Linked DNA regions of Schizosaccharomyces pombe. The protein of the gene in region 2 binds, or shares a complex with, the protein of the main gene of each other region. Each region holds a gene or a part of one and is shown on either strand. Other genes may lie near its edges.

What was found. Proteins that work in one complex are often made in the same cells at the same time.
Region 1: btf3 (region 2) and egd2 share a complex: the UniProt entries of both Schizosaccharomyces pombe proteins name them as parts of the nascent polypeptide-associated complex.

Annotation. Positions count from the first base shown.
Region 1 is NC_003423.3:3,273,976-3,277,356, forward strand, and holds egd2 (nascent polypeptide-associated complex alpha subunit Egd2), read right to left. Parts: upstream 1,548-3,381; 5' UTR 1,504-1,547; coding exon 982-1,503; 3' UTR 953-981; downstream 1-952. Other genes in the region: TIM22 inner membrane protein import complex subunit Tim22, read left to right, coding at 1,884-2,411; vac14 (phosphatidylinositol synthesis protein), read right to left, coding at 2,712-3,157, 3,204-3,283, 3,332-3,381. UniProt on the Schizosaccharomyces pombe protein: Component of the nascent polypeptide-associated complex (NAC), a dynamic component of the ribosomal exit tunnel, protecting the emerging polypeptides from interaction with other cytoplasmic proteins to ensure appropriate nascent protein targeting.
Region 2 is NC_003424.3:4,858,123-4,865,714, forward strand, and holds btf3 (nascent polypeptide-associated complex beta subunit), read right to left. Parts: upstream 3,143-7,592; 5' UTR 3,111-3,142; coding exon 3,065-3,110; exon of another isoform or gene 2,907-3,064; coding exon 2,497-2,906; 3' UTR 2,414-2,496; downstream 1-2,413. Other genes in the region: mpd2 (GYF domain protein), read right to left, coding at 1-1,691, 1,809-1,846; wsp1 (actin assembly factor), read right to left, coding at 3,408-3,442, 3,502-3,634, 3,685-5,025, 5,111-5,326; SPOM_SPAC4F10.16C (P-type ATPase), read right to left, coding at 5,839-6,415, 6,462-7,592. UniProt on the Schizosaccharomyces pombe protein: Component of the nascent polypeptide-associated complex (NAC), a dynamic component of the ribosomal exit tunnel, protecting the emerging polypeptides from interaction with other cytoplasmic proteins to ensure appropriate nascent protein targeting.

The DNA.
Region 1 (3,381 bases), on a different chromosome or scaffold from region 2:
TTTATTAGTTATTCGGATCTACTCGTTTGGATTACTTTCACTTTTGTTTGATCATACATACAATCTTGGTCCTATTTTATGCGTGGGTACTTGGTTTATCCAAATATTTCAAGTGTTTCCATCCGCGATATACTACAGCTATTTAGAACTAATTGGAAACATACAAGTTAAATCTTGTGTTAAAATTACATGCAAAATAATAAGCATCATTAAAATCAAAAAATTTTATCCTTTATTATTTCCGCATTGGTATCTTACAAATTTTTTTGTGTTTAAAAACTAAATCGTGTAAAGCTCGAATTTTAATATTGTTGAGGATCACTAAAAGTGCTGCGAACTTTAAAATAGTCATTAATGGATCACTTATTCGCATGCCTGTGAATACATTCAACTGATTGAACGAAATCAGAATTAGAAATAAACTACTTCTGTTGCCTAATAGTAAAAACCGTTTATATGAAACCAAAAACTAATTTCATCAACATTTTTTTTTACATAATTAATGAGCTGCAAACATTGCAGATGATAATCAAGAAGCTAGAATCCATATTTTGAAAATAAAGATTTAATCATCGTCAGATGATTCATCTCTGTGCTCCTTGTTCATCTGAAACAAATACTTCTGTCACGATTGATTCACGGACAGTTTGATATCGAAAATTGAATAAGCTAGCAAACGAACTTGCTGCCATTGACAAGTTACATTGAGTAAGACAAAGTTGACTAGTTCTGAAATTATGCAGTCAAACAAAGGTTGACCATTGTGTGAAATATCCGCATATCATGAGTAAACAAAAAAATTATTGACTTTGATTATTTGAGCCATGCTTTAGCCGTATTCATGACTGACTAAAGCTGTGTTAATGAGTCACACATTATTACAAAAAGATTATGCGAAATGGAAAAATGTAAACATACAATTACTTTTACAACGAAAAAAACAACATGAGGGTAAAAAGCAAAAAGTTGTATTTAATACTTTTACATGGTAAGAGACATGATGGCGTTAACAACATCACTGTTGTTTTCCTTCAAAGCAGTAACGGCCTTGGCGCGAGAAACATTAGCTTGGGCCATAACCAACTCAATATCCTTAGCATCAACACCAGTTTCATCAACGGCTTTTTCTTGCTCAAAAGACTCCTCTATTTTAGCAGTATCGGCGGGTTGAGCATCGCCGGATTCTTCGGTAATAGCAGCTTCTTCCTTAGTCTCAGTAGCTTGCTTTTGAGACTCGTTGAAGGCACGAGCTTGGGCAGCCATATCTTCAACAGTAACCTTTCCAAGGACGATGTAAGCATTATTGCTACTCTTATAAACAATAGGCTCGTTGATAATCAACAAAATGTTCTTAGGACGACGCATAGCGACACGAGTGATTCCCTCAACACGTTTAAGACCCAACTTTTGAATCAATTTTTGAGCCTTCTCAGCATGGACAACGGTGGTGGATCCAGCAGGAAGCTCAGAAATTTTCTCTACAGGTTGTGATTCAACAGACATTTTGGATCAAAATAAAAGACTATTGTTGTAGTTGGAAGTGATTCAATCGTTGACGCATTCGTTTTTCATGTTTGTCGAACTCTGATATTACCGTGACTGTCTTTTGGGAGCGGTAGTAGGGCATAGCAAACTAACCCTTATTGTTTGATTAGAAAACATAGCTTCAGTTATTACTTATATGTAAGAGAGTTAGTGATAGTGTATAATTAATAGTTTCGGCGCGTCTCTTAATCTCCTTCGAATTACCACGGTTATCGCATATTTTCGTTACATTATTGTAGAATAATTTTTTGTTATTTTGAAACGACAGTTTAAAAAGAAATTTATATTTTAGTACCCTTTCGGTTTTTTACACAGCGCCTTTGCAGAACAAACAAACTATGTCGCTTTCTGGATTATTGCCGCCGAATCTGGGTGGAAATTCGCCCAATGCAGATGGAAATTTGACACCAGAAGAAAAAGCTGCTTTACAACAAGCAAAAATAATCGGCTACATGAACAGGATATCAGAAAGCTGCGTCTTTAAAAGTAGCATGGCCGGTGTACTAGGTTTTGGCTTGGGTGGTATATTTGGTATGTTCATTTCCTCTCTGGATTTGCAACACATTGATCCCAAGATCTATGAGAAGCCATTTCGTGAACAAATTCGTATTCAAGCAAGGGATATGGGTAGCCGCTCATTCTCTACTGCCAAAAATTTTGGTTTATTGGGTTTAATCTATTCCGGTTCAGAATGCTGTATAGAGGCATTTCGTGCTAAAACTGATATTTATAACGCCATCGCCGCCGGTGTTTTTACAGGTGGAGCTTTGGCTGTGCGTTCAGGACCTAAGGCAATTGTTCTAGGAGGCGCTGGTTTTGGTTTATTTTCTTATGGAATTGAAAAGTATATGCACTGGGGAGAATAAATTATACCTTTCATTATTCAATTGACTGGACATTTTTTTTTACCTTCATGTGTTGCTCTTTTAATAGATGCTTACGTTCTGTCTGCGTTAACCGGGTTGACTTCCATAACCTATCATCCATTAGTATAATTCCTTTTTCTTCTGACTAATCTGCACTGTTTACTTTAGCATGATATTCTTACTGTCCTTGTTTACGCTCGTTCATTTACCGACACCTTTCCATTGCATCAAAAATACTTAATTATTAACATTCCTCTTTCTATACCATATGATCATTATATCACTTATTAATTAAATACATCACTGTTTTGGCTTCTTTCTCGCACCGGTTGATAAAGCTGCAGTTGGTGGAAGCCTTGTTATAAAGGAATCACGAGAGTTCGATGCTGTAGTTGTAATTCCGGACGCCGAGGTTGTAGTAGATATTGTAGTGGCAGTTGGGGTTGATGGTAATGCTCCTGCAAGAGCTAATCTAGTAGCACGGATGGGTTCTCTGTAATTGTTTTGATGCGATAGCTGTACCGCTTTCAGCCTTTCAAGAAGGTCCGTCCAGTATGGATCATCCCGCCTTGATCGAGGTAACCTTTCATTAGCTAAAATAGTATTTGTCCTTGGAGTTGAAGAGCACTGAAGTCGATCTCTTAAGGTCCGAAACGCTGAAGACTGAGGTAACAACATCAATATCCCATACAGGGCTTTGTGAAGGTACGGGTATTTTTCAGGCTCTAATAATTGTAAGCGCATATCTAATGTCATTAGTAATATGTAAAACAATTATTCAATTGCACCCACATGTGAAGACCGGGGATTCTATTAATTGAACTAACTTGTCCAACTGTATCAACATATCGATATTAAACTCAATTTCAGCACTAATCACATAGGTTAATAAAAAATTAAAGTTTTTTTAGATCACATACAAAACTGAGAGCAAATTTGCAGCGTGCTCATAATTTTGCGATAAAAGGCA
Region 2 (7,592 bases):
CAGAGAGACTGATAGAACCGAGATCTTTTGACAATTGATTTAACGATTCATTATGATGAATGGGAGTGTTTTCTTTTTCATACATATCAGAGTTGTCAGAAGTACCAAGGGCCGATTCCTCCTTTTGGTTAGCACTGTCTTCATTAACATTGAGCTCAGAACTTCGGCACTCGGATTGCTGATTATAGGAAATCTCAGATAACGAGTTTGCTTTTGATTCATCATTTCTAACATTTGAAACTTCCGCAGTACTGGGATATAATTCAAGGTGTTTGTTTCCACCTCTATTTTGTTCAGAGCTCTCCGGAAGATAATTGCTCAAAGGAAGATCGGTTCCTTGAGCATTCCAAGAGGCGTTTTGAACAGTTACAGGTGATAGAGGAACCAAGAAGGGTTCCAACTGGTTGCCCACCTGACGAATAAAAAAGGCAAGAGAGTAATACTCTTCTTCTTCTAGCCTCTTTATTGGCAAGCCAAGAGGAAAATAACCAGCTCTATACCATTGATGCATATCTACTCCAGTAAAGGGGCCTTGGACATTATTTTGAGGGTCTTTATAAAGCCAATGCAGAAGAGCGGGAGGAATTAACGAAGCCAAGTGCTGAGGAAACGCCTCCGAAGAAAACATAGCTGTAGAGGGAGACATAGCAGCCGCAGGACTATTGACAGCAGAATGCTCACGTTGAGATGCGCTTGGTGCAACAGGTTGGGACGCGTTCTCTTTAATAGATGCTTTAGCTTTGGCCTTATCAACAAGAATATTTAGTGGAGAATCAGTGTCTCTAATACTCATTGAATTTCCCACTGGAACGTTGGAATTAGTGGGAAATCGAGATGGACCTCTGCGTAGTGGGGACTGAGAGAAATCTGCGAGATTATCAACCTGTCCAACAGGAGAAGCCACGGATTGTGTTAAACCTGCAGATATTCCATTTGATGATCCAGAAGGATGGTAAGCAGAGCTTGATAGAATTTCAAGAGAATGAGTATTAGCTGAAGCAACATTCGGTTCCCCACCTGGTTGATTGCTTGAAGAAGTGTTCAAGTCAGGAAAAGTATCAGAACCAGCACGCTGCGGCTGTTGCAAAGTCCCAACACCGGGATTCATATTACCAGAAACCGCTGAGCGACTTTGAGAAAATGAAGAAGGGCTGCGATCTAATACAGGACGATTGATATGATTAAAAGGGCTCCCCAGTTTGGGAGAAGCTGTGCCCGTTGTTATAGAATTCGAGGATGGAAAACAATCCCTTAAAAATCCAGGAGATATGCCCTCATTAGAAAAAGCGTTTGTAAAAGAGGTGTTGGCATTTTTAGAATTAAACAAATTGGTAGACATATCAAAGGTGCTACTTGGATTATTTGCAACAACTGGATTTTTATAAAAAGGAGAACCACCATTTGAAACAATGGCTGGGTTTGCTGATGAGGTTGTTGACGATACTGTAGGATTTTTGCTAGTCAATTCAGAAGGTGCATTTAAAGAGTCCCACATATTGCCACTTTTTAAAGACAGTTTTCTTTGTGAATCCAATTTTGCAGAAACAGAAGGGTCAATATGAGACGATGTAGGAGAATCCACTCCATTTGTGGCAGTAGGTTTAGTAAAAGATGTTAACTGAGGAAAAGCACCAGTTGTTGAAGAACTCGAGTTATTTGCTTTTTTATGTAACGAATGTGCCAGCTGGCTCCTACAAAACATAAGTTGTTAGTACAAGGCAATTTGAAACTCAAAGTATTTCAAGCGTATCAGAAACGCAATTTTTTGAAAATCGTAAAATGTGGTAAATCCCAGGAAAAAAACTTACCAATCCATATTACTAAATACACTTGCTTCTGAATTCATAATTTTAGCACTTTCTCTCTTAAAGTAAAAAATCCTTGTTATCTTTTAACAACCAGCAAATCTGTTTGTTGTAAAGGTTTTAGGTGGAAAAACGTAACAATAACGCCGTTGCAATAAATAACGACAAATACAGCTGAGCGGGGGTAGCGGCGACAATCGTGTGGGGGAGATGCACTTACTGTGGAACGTGGGTGTTCTGCAATAATTGCCTACCACGCCGCATCGAAAATTTAGTTTATTGAAATTAGCGATTCCTATTAACAATACGAAGTAAATGCTTAACGTAGGCTAATTTCCGCAATTCTTGAATAAGTCCAAACCATCTTTAAAAAGATTATTGCCAAGCTTACTTATAAGGAAAATGACAGCAAAGATTTTTTAACCAAATTAATCAAAGAAAACTATATATTGAAAATGGTTGAATTGTATAACCTTAACAAGTACAAGAGAGACCTCTTGTACCTTGCCAACGTGCATTTACAAAGCGTCAGTATATCCCTCGCTTACTGCACTTAAATTTGCTAAAATCTTTATCTTACGAATTACATAATTACGATTTTTCAAATTACTGATAATACCATAGTCACTTTACATATATTAGCACCCAAATCTTGAGTCAAAAATCCGACATGAAATATTTTGTTGCTTATTTAATCTTGTTCGTCAAACTTTTCGACAAGGTCAGGAATTTCTCCATCGTCGGCTTGTGCATCAGCTCCCTTTTCACCTTCACTGACCTTTAATTGCTCAGCCATTTGACGAAGGGCAGTCAAGGATTCAGGACCAAGGTTGTTCAAAATGCCAGGCAAAATCTCAGACAAAGTCTTTTCCTCTGCTTTACCATAGATAGCTGTAGTTTCATTAGGAAGCGAGGAATGAACGGTAGGTGCACGGAAATTAATGACTCCGCCATCTTCCTTGAACATGTTAACCTCTTGGATGCCAGCAAGGTTTTGCATATTCAACTTTTTCAAGGCACCTTGAACCTTCTTGTCATCAGCAGCACTCATGGCAGACTTAGAAGGCTTCTTCACCTTACGACGAGGGGTACCCTTTCCACCTATACAATGATAAGTTAATTAAGCAGTTCTCTATGAAAAAAGTACAACTGTGTTTTCAATAGCCAGCATCAATTACAGTGGAACCACTTTGAAACCGTTCAAGGCATTTCTTAGAGCTGGTGTCAACTTCAAAACACGGGGATGCATTCGAACATACCAATACGAGCGCCAGCCTGCAACTTAGCCAATTTGGAGGGATCCATTTGTTTCTATTTGACCAAACGTTTTTGGTTGTGGAAGGACTTGAACTTGACGTTTCTAAAGTTGTGGTACCGAAATGTGTGACTGCTCCCATACTTACAATAAAGTAAAGATACACACTGTGTTGCGATATATGAATAGTAATATCAACACAAATTCGCGTTATTCAATTTAGAATAAATGGTGTTTGCTCTAATACAATAAACACAAATCCAAATAAAAATAGTGAAGTCGTTTAACAAAACTTTAAAAGACTGTGTGAATCAAAAAAGTATAGGTAATTTCAAAGATATTAATAACTAGTCCCACTCATCGTCGTCTTCATCCTCTTCGTCTGAAAGAATTAGTAAACTTAAGAACTTTTGAAAAAAAATACGAGAAATCCGGACATACCACTCTGAGCGACTTTGGTTTTACGTTGGTTCAAAGCGCTTGCCAATGCATCCATAAGATTGTTAGAAGGGGGTGCTTCTACCGGAGGATTCGAAGTTTTTGTAGATGCGACACTAGGAGAAGCAGATACTTTCTGGAAAATATTAGTACGAGTAACCATTAAGTAATAATATCAATACTTACCCTGCTTTTCAGTAAATCCATACCACCGCTGGCTCTGATACTGGCCATTAAATTAGCACGGCCGTCTTGTTGAGGCAATTCAGCTATCGAAGCAACAGGCGCGGCGGGCGCAGGAGCTGGAGCTGGAGGAGGAGCTGGTGCAGCGGGAGGCAATGGTGGAGCAGCTGGCATACCAGCGGGTAGAGGAGGAGCAATTGGTGCACTAGGTGGTAGGGGGGGAGCAGCTGGTGCGCCCATAGGTAGAGAAGGTGGTGCACTGGGGGGCAAAGATGGAGGTGCACTAGGAGGAAGAGAAGGAGGTGTAGGGACAGGAGGTGTGCTTGTTCGTGATGCATTACCAAGAGGGGGAAGTGCAGGCGCAGAACGACCAGGAATAGCTGGAGGAGGGGCTGGTGGGTTTGAAACTGCACGAGATGAAGATAAAGGGGGTGGTTGTCTCCCAGTGGAAGGAGCAGACCTTGGAGGAGGTGGAGGAGGAGCAGATCTACCTTGAGGCGGCAAAGGAATTGAGCCAGCAGCATTAGATCTAGGAGGTGGTGGAGGTGGAGGAAGAGACGAGTTAGAAGAACCATTACCAATCGGTGGTTTACCACGATTACGACGGGATGGAGGCGGAGGCGGAGGAGGTCGTTTTTTGTTAGCAGCTAGAGCTGCCGCACTGACTCTTGAAGATGGTGGAGGGAGTGGAGGTTTCGAGGTGGAATTAATAGCAGGATTCATCGAAACAGGAGCGATAGGACGGGGAGGGGAGTTAGGAGGAGAAGAGACAGTTCCATTAGATGGAGGTGGAATTGGGGGAGGAGCAGGTGCAGACAAAGAAGGAACACGCTCTGGGGGACGAGAGGAAGGAATGCTTGGAGGGATGGGAGGTGCAGAAGTACTGGTAGGTGTACCAGCTGATTCATTAAGGTACGCTTTGACGAAATCTGCGTTTTCAGCAATTTGATCCTGGGAAATGCCCATCTTCATTAGAGAATCAATTAAGCTCGGATCAAGCGAATTTAAAAGCTCGGGCTCATTGGGACTTTTAGATCCAACAGCATTATAATTTTCCTTTCCAGGTACAGGAGGAGCAGCTGAGGGAGGTTGGATATTGCTGTTGTTAGGCGCATGTCTAGAAGAACCTTTTCTGGTAATAAATGACAAAACCGGATTCTCAATTGATTCAGGATGGCAACCTTTATCTAAAACCTTTTTGTAAAATTTTTGAGCGTCTGTCTCGTTTGCAAAACTAAAACCTGCTAGGCATTTATCAAGCTCGAAAGAATGAAAAAATGTACGATCTTGGCGATAGTCCATATTTTGATAAAGCTCTTGGTCCCATATTATACCACTATTATTCTAAAACGTTAGAAGGTTATAATTCAATTAAATTGTATACCACTCTTTGTAGTTTGCTTTGAGTATCAAAGCTTCATACACATACCACAACGTCAACCAGTTTAAACCAACAGCATTTTGCTGTTGTATCATAGGACAATACAAGAGCACCACAAAGACCTGTATAATTCCATTTGTTCGGATCAGGATAAGCTACATATAGCTTGACGACGGCTGCTGCAATGATTTTATTTGTGCTTTTAGGTATGTATTTACGGATAGTTGCCTTATCCTCTTGAGTTATAGAGGAAGATGGAGGCATTTGAATTTTCGGATTGTAATGCAATTCAAAAATTGCTGTCTCACAGTGGTATAAGTGGTGTTTTGGTTCCTCCCGTTTGTTAGCATTTTCACTGTAGTTAACAAGCCAATGAGTGATAATTAGTGTAGTATACTATACTACGCTATGTACTATAAAAATTTGCAACGCACTTATTAGCAGCTGGTAAATTTTGCTAATTATATTAACTGTTTATAGATTAATAAAACTTGAGACATTAATTCGGGTTTAATATTTTTTACATTCTACATACTTATCGTCCTCATTGTAAAGAGGTAAATAAAATTTATTCAACCATACGAAGTTTGCTTGTCTCATAATGTTAGTTTATTATAAGATTATTAAAAAAATGACTTAATCATAATCATTAATTATTAGAAAAAAAAGGGAACATTAAGAAAAAGTCATTCGTGATGTTGAGGATAATAAAAAGACTCTCGTCCGGTAGGAGTAGTATAACTACATAAACAAACAGTGCGAACTCAGATGTATGGCTACTTATTAGAATCATCGAATGAAACTGAAGTAACAATACCGGAATTTTTTTTCGAACTTAATGGGTCGTTACATTGTTCGCACATTTCTATATCTGTTGCAAATGATGAACTACTGCTAGTCTCATCATCTGACTTTGCACAAAGTCGTCTCCGTAAAAGGTCAATATCTCTAGGATAAAACAATTTTTGTAAGCAAATATAGGAAAAGCGAGGCAACAAACATAAGGCAATGGTTAAAACAGTAACACACCAAAAGCCAAAAGTTTGACAAGTTCGCGAAGCTGATTTGTGGAAAGCGTAAGAGGGGCCAACTTCTGAATAAATAAATGTCCATATCCAAAATACACCTATGCTGAACATCCAAGTAATAAGTGATATTAAATTCAATCTCTCTTGATTCATCAATATAAAAATGTTGATTACAAAAATAGTAGGAGAGGATATAAAAAGTCCTATGTCTTCTATACACTCGATGTTCCTTCCAGTCCAACTTACAAAATCACCAAACTTAAAAACAAATAGAGCTACCCCAAAGCATACCAATGATTGATATATTCCATCTAGCATGTAAGACCTAAAATAAATATTTAGCAAACAGAAATCTTCAGAGTTATACTTACCAAAATCTCTTTCCGTTCCATTCTAGACCTAAAATTCCCCGTTGGTATAAGCTTGGATTTTTCATTGAAACAGATGCGTCAACGTCCTGGTCAAAACAACCTGCAATAATTACGGGTAGTGATGTGAACAGCAGATTAAAAAGCATCACGTAGGTATAATCAAATATGTAGTTTCCATCAAACTCGTTATAAAATTGATACCAAAAAAGTATAAATGTCCAAATAACATTTTTGTAAAAAAAGAATGAAATCATTTGAGACATTCTTTTATAGTCCCATCGTCCATGAACTAGAAGTAGTCGCCCTAGGAAAGAAAATTGACCGATGGCATAATCCGCCGACATTGAAGCTGCTTGCCCTTCAACGCCTTTTATCCCTACTCCAACGTCGGCTTCTTGAATCATCGAAACATCATTAGCGCCATCTCCAATTGCTAAAGTGACAACATTTAGACTCTTCTTGACTAAAGCAACAACAGCTGCCTTCTGAGAGGGACTAACCCTGCAGCACAAAACTGTCTTACACTGCTTACATAACATTAAAAAAAGAAAAGAGACCTGTTCAGACAAAACAAAGTTCAGGGCATCCCCATCAATAACTATGGCGTGTTTCGGAGATGGCGGACTGTGGTCTTTCAACAAAAATCTGAATTCTTCATCCGTTCCCATGTATCCAAAATTAAAGCATAATGTGTTTCTAATAAAAGCTTCTACTTCTTCTAAGGCACCGAAAGAGTTTGCATCAATTCGAAAAATAGTCATGTTTGGATCAAGAAGATTGCATGAATACCCAATGTTGATTGCCGTTTCTACCTTATCACCAGTCAACACCCACAACTTAATTCCAGCAATAGCCAAAAGAGCGATAGTTTCTGGTACATTCTCTTGAAGTTTATCTTCAATTGCTGTTCCACCGAGTAATTCAAGCTCTTGCTCAATCATCTCTGAAACTTTACTGACCTTTTCGTTCCGTTCATGAATGGCACTATTAGCTTCGTTGAAATTCACTTTCCATTCAAGATAATCTTGCTTATCAATAGTTCGACGAGCGATACATAACGTACGAAATCCTTCGGATGAAAATGAAGCTAAATGCTTCTTCGTCTTTTCAATGATATTGTTTTGTCCGCTG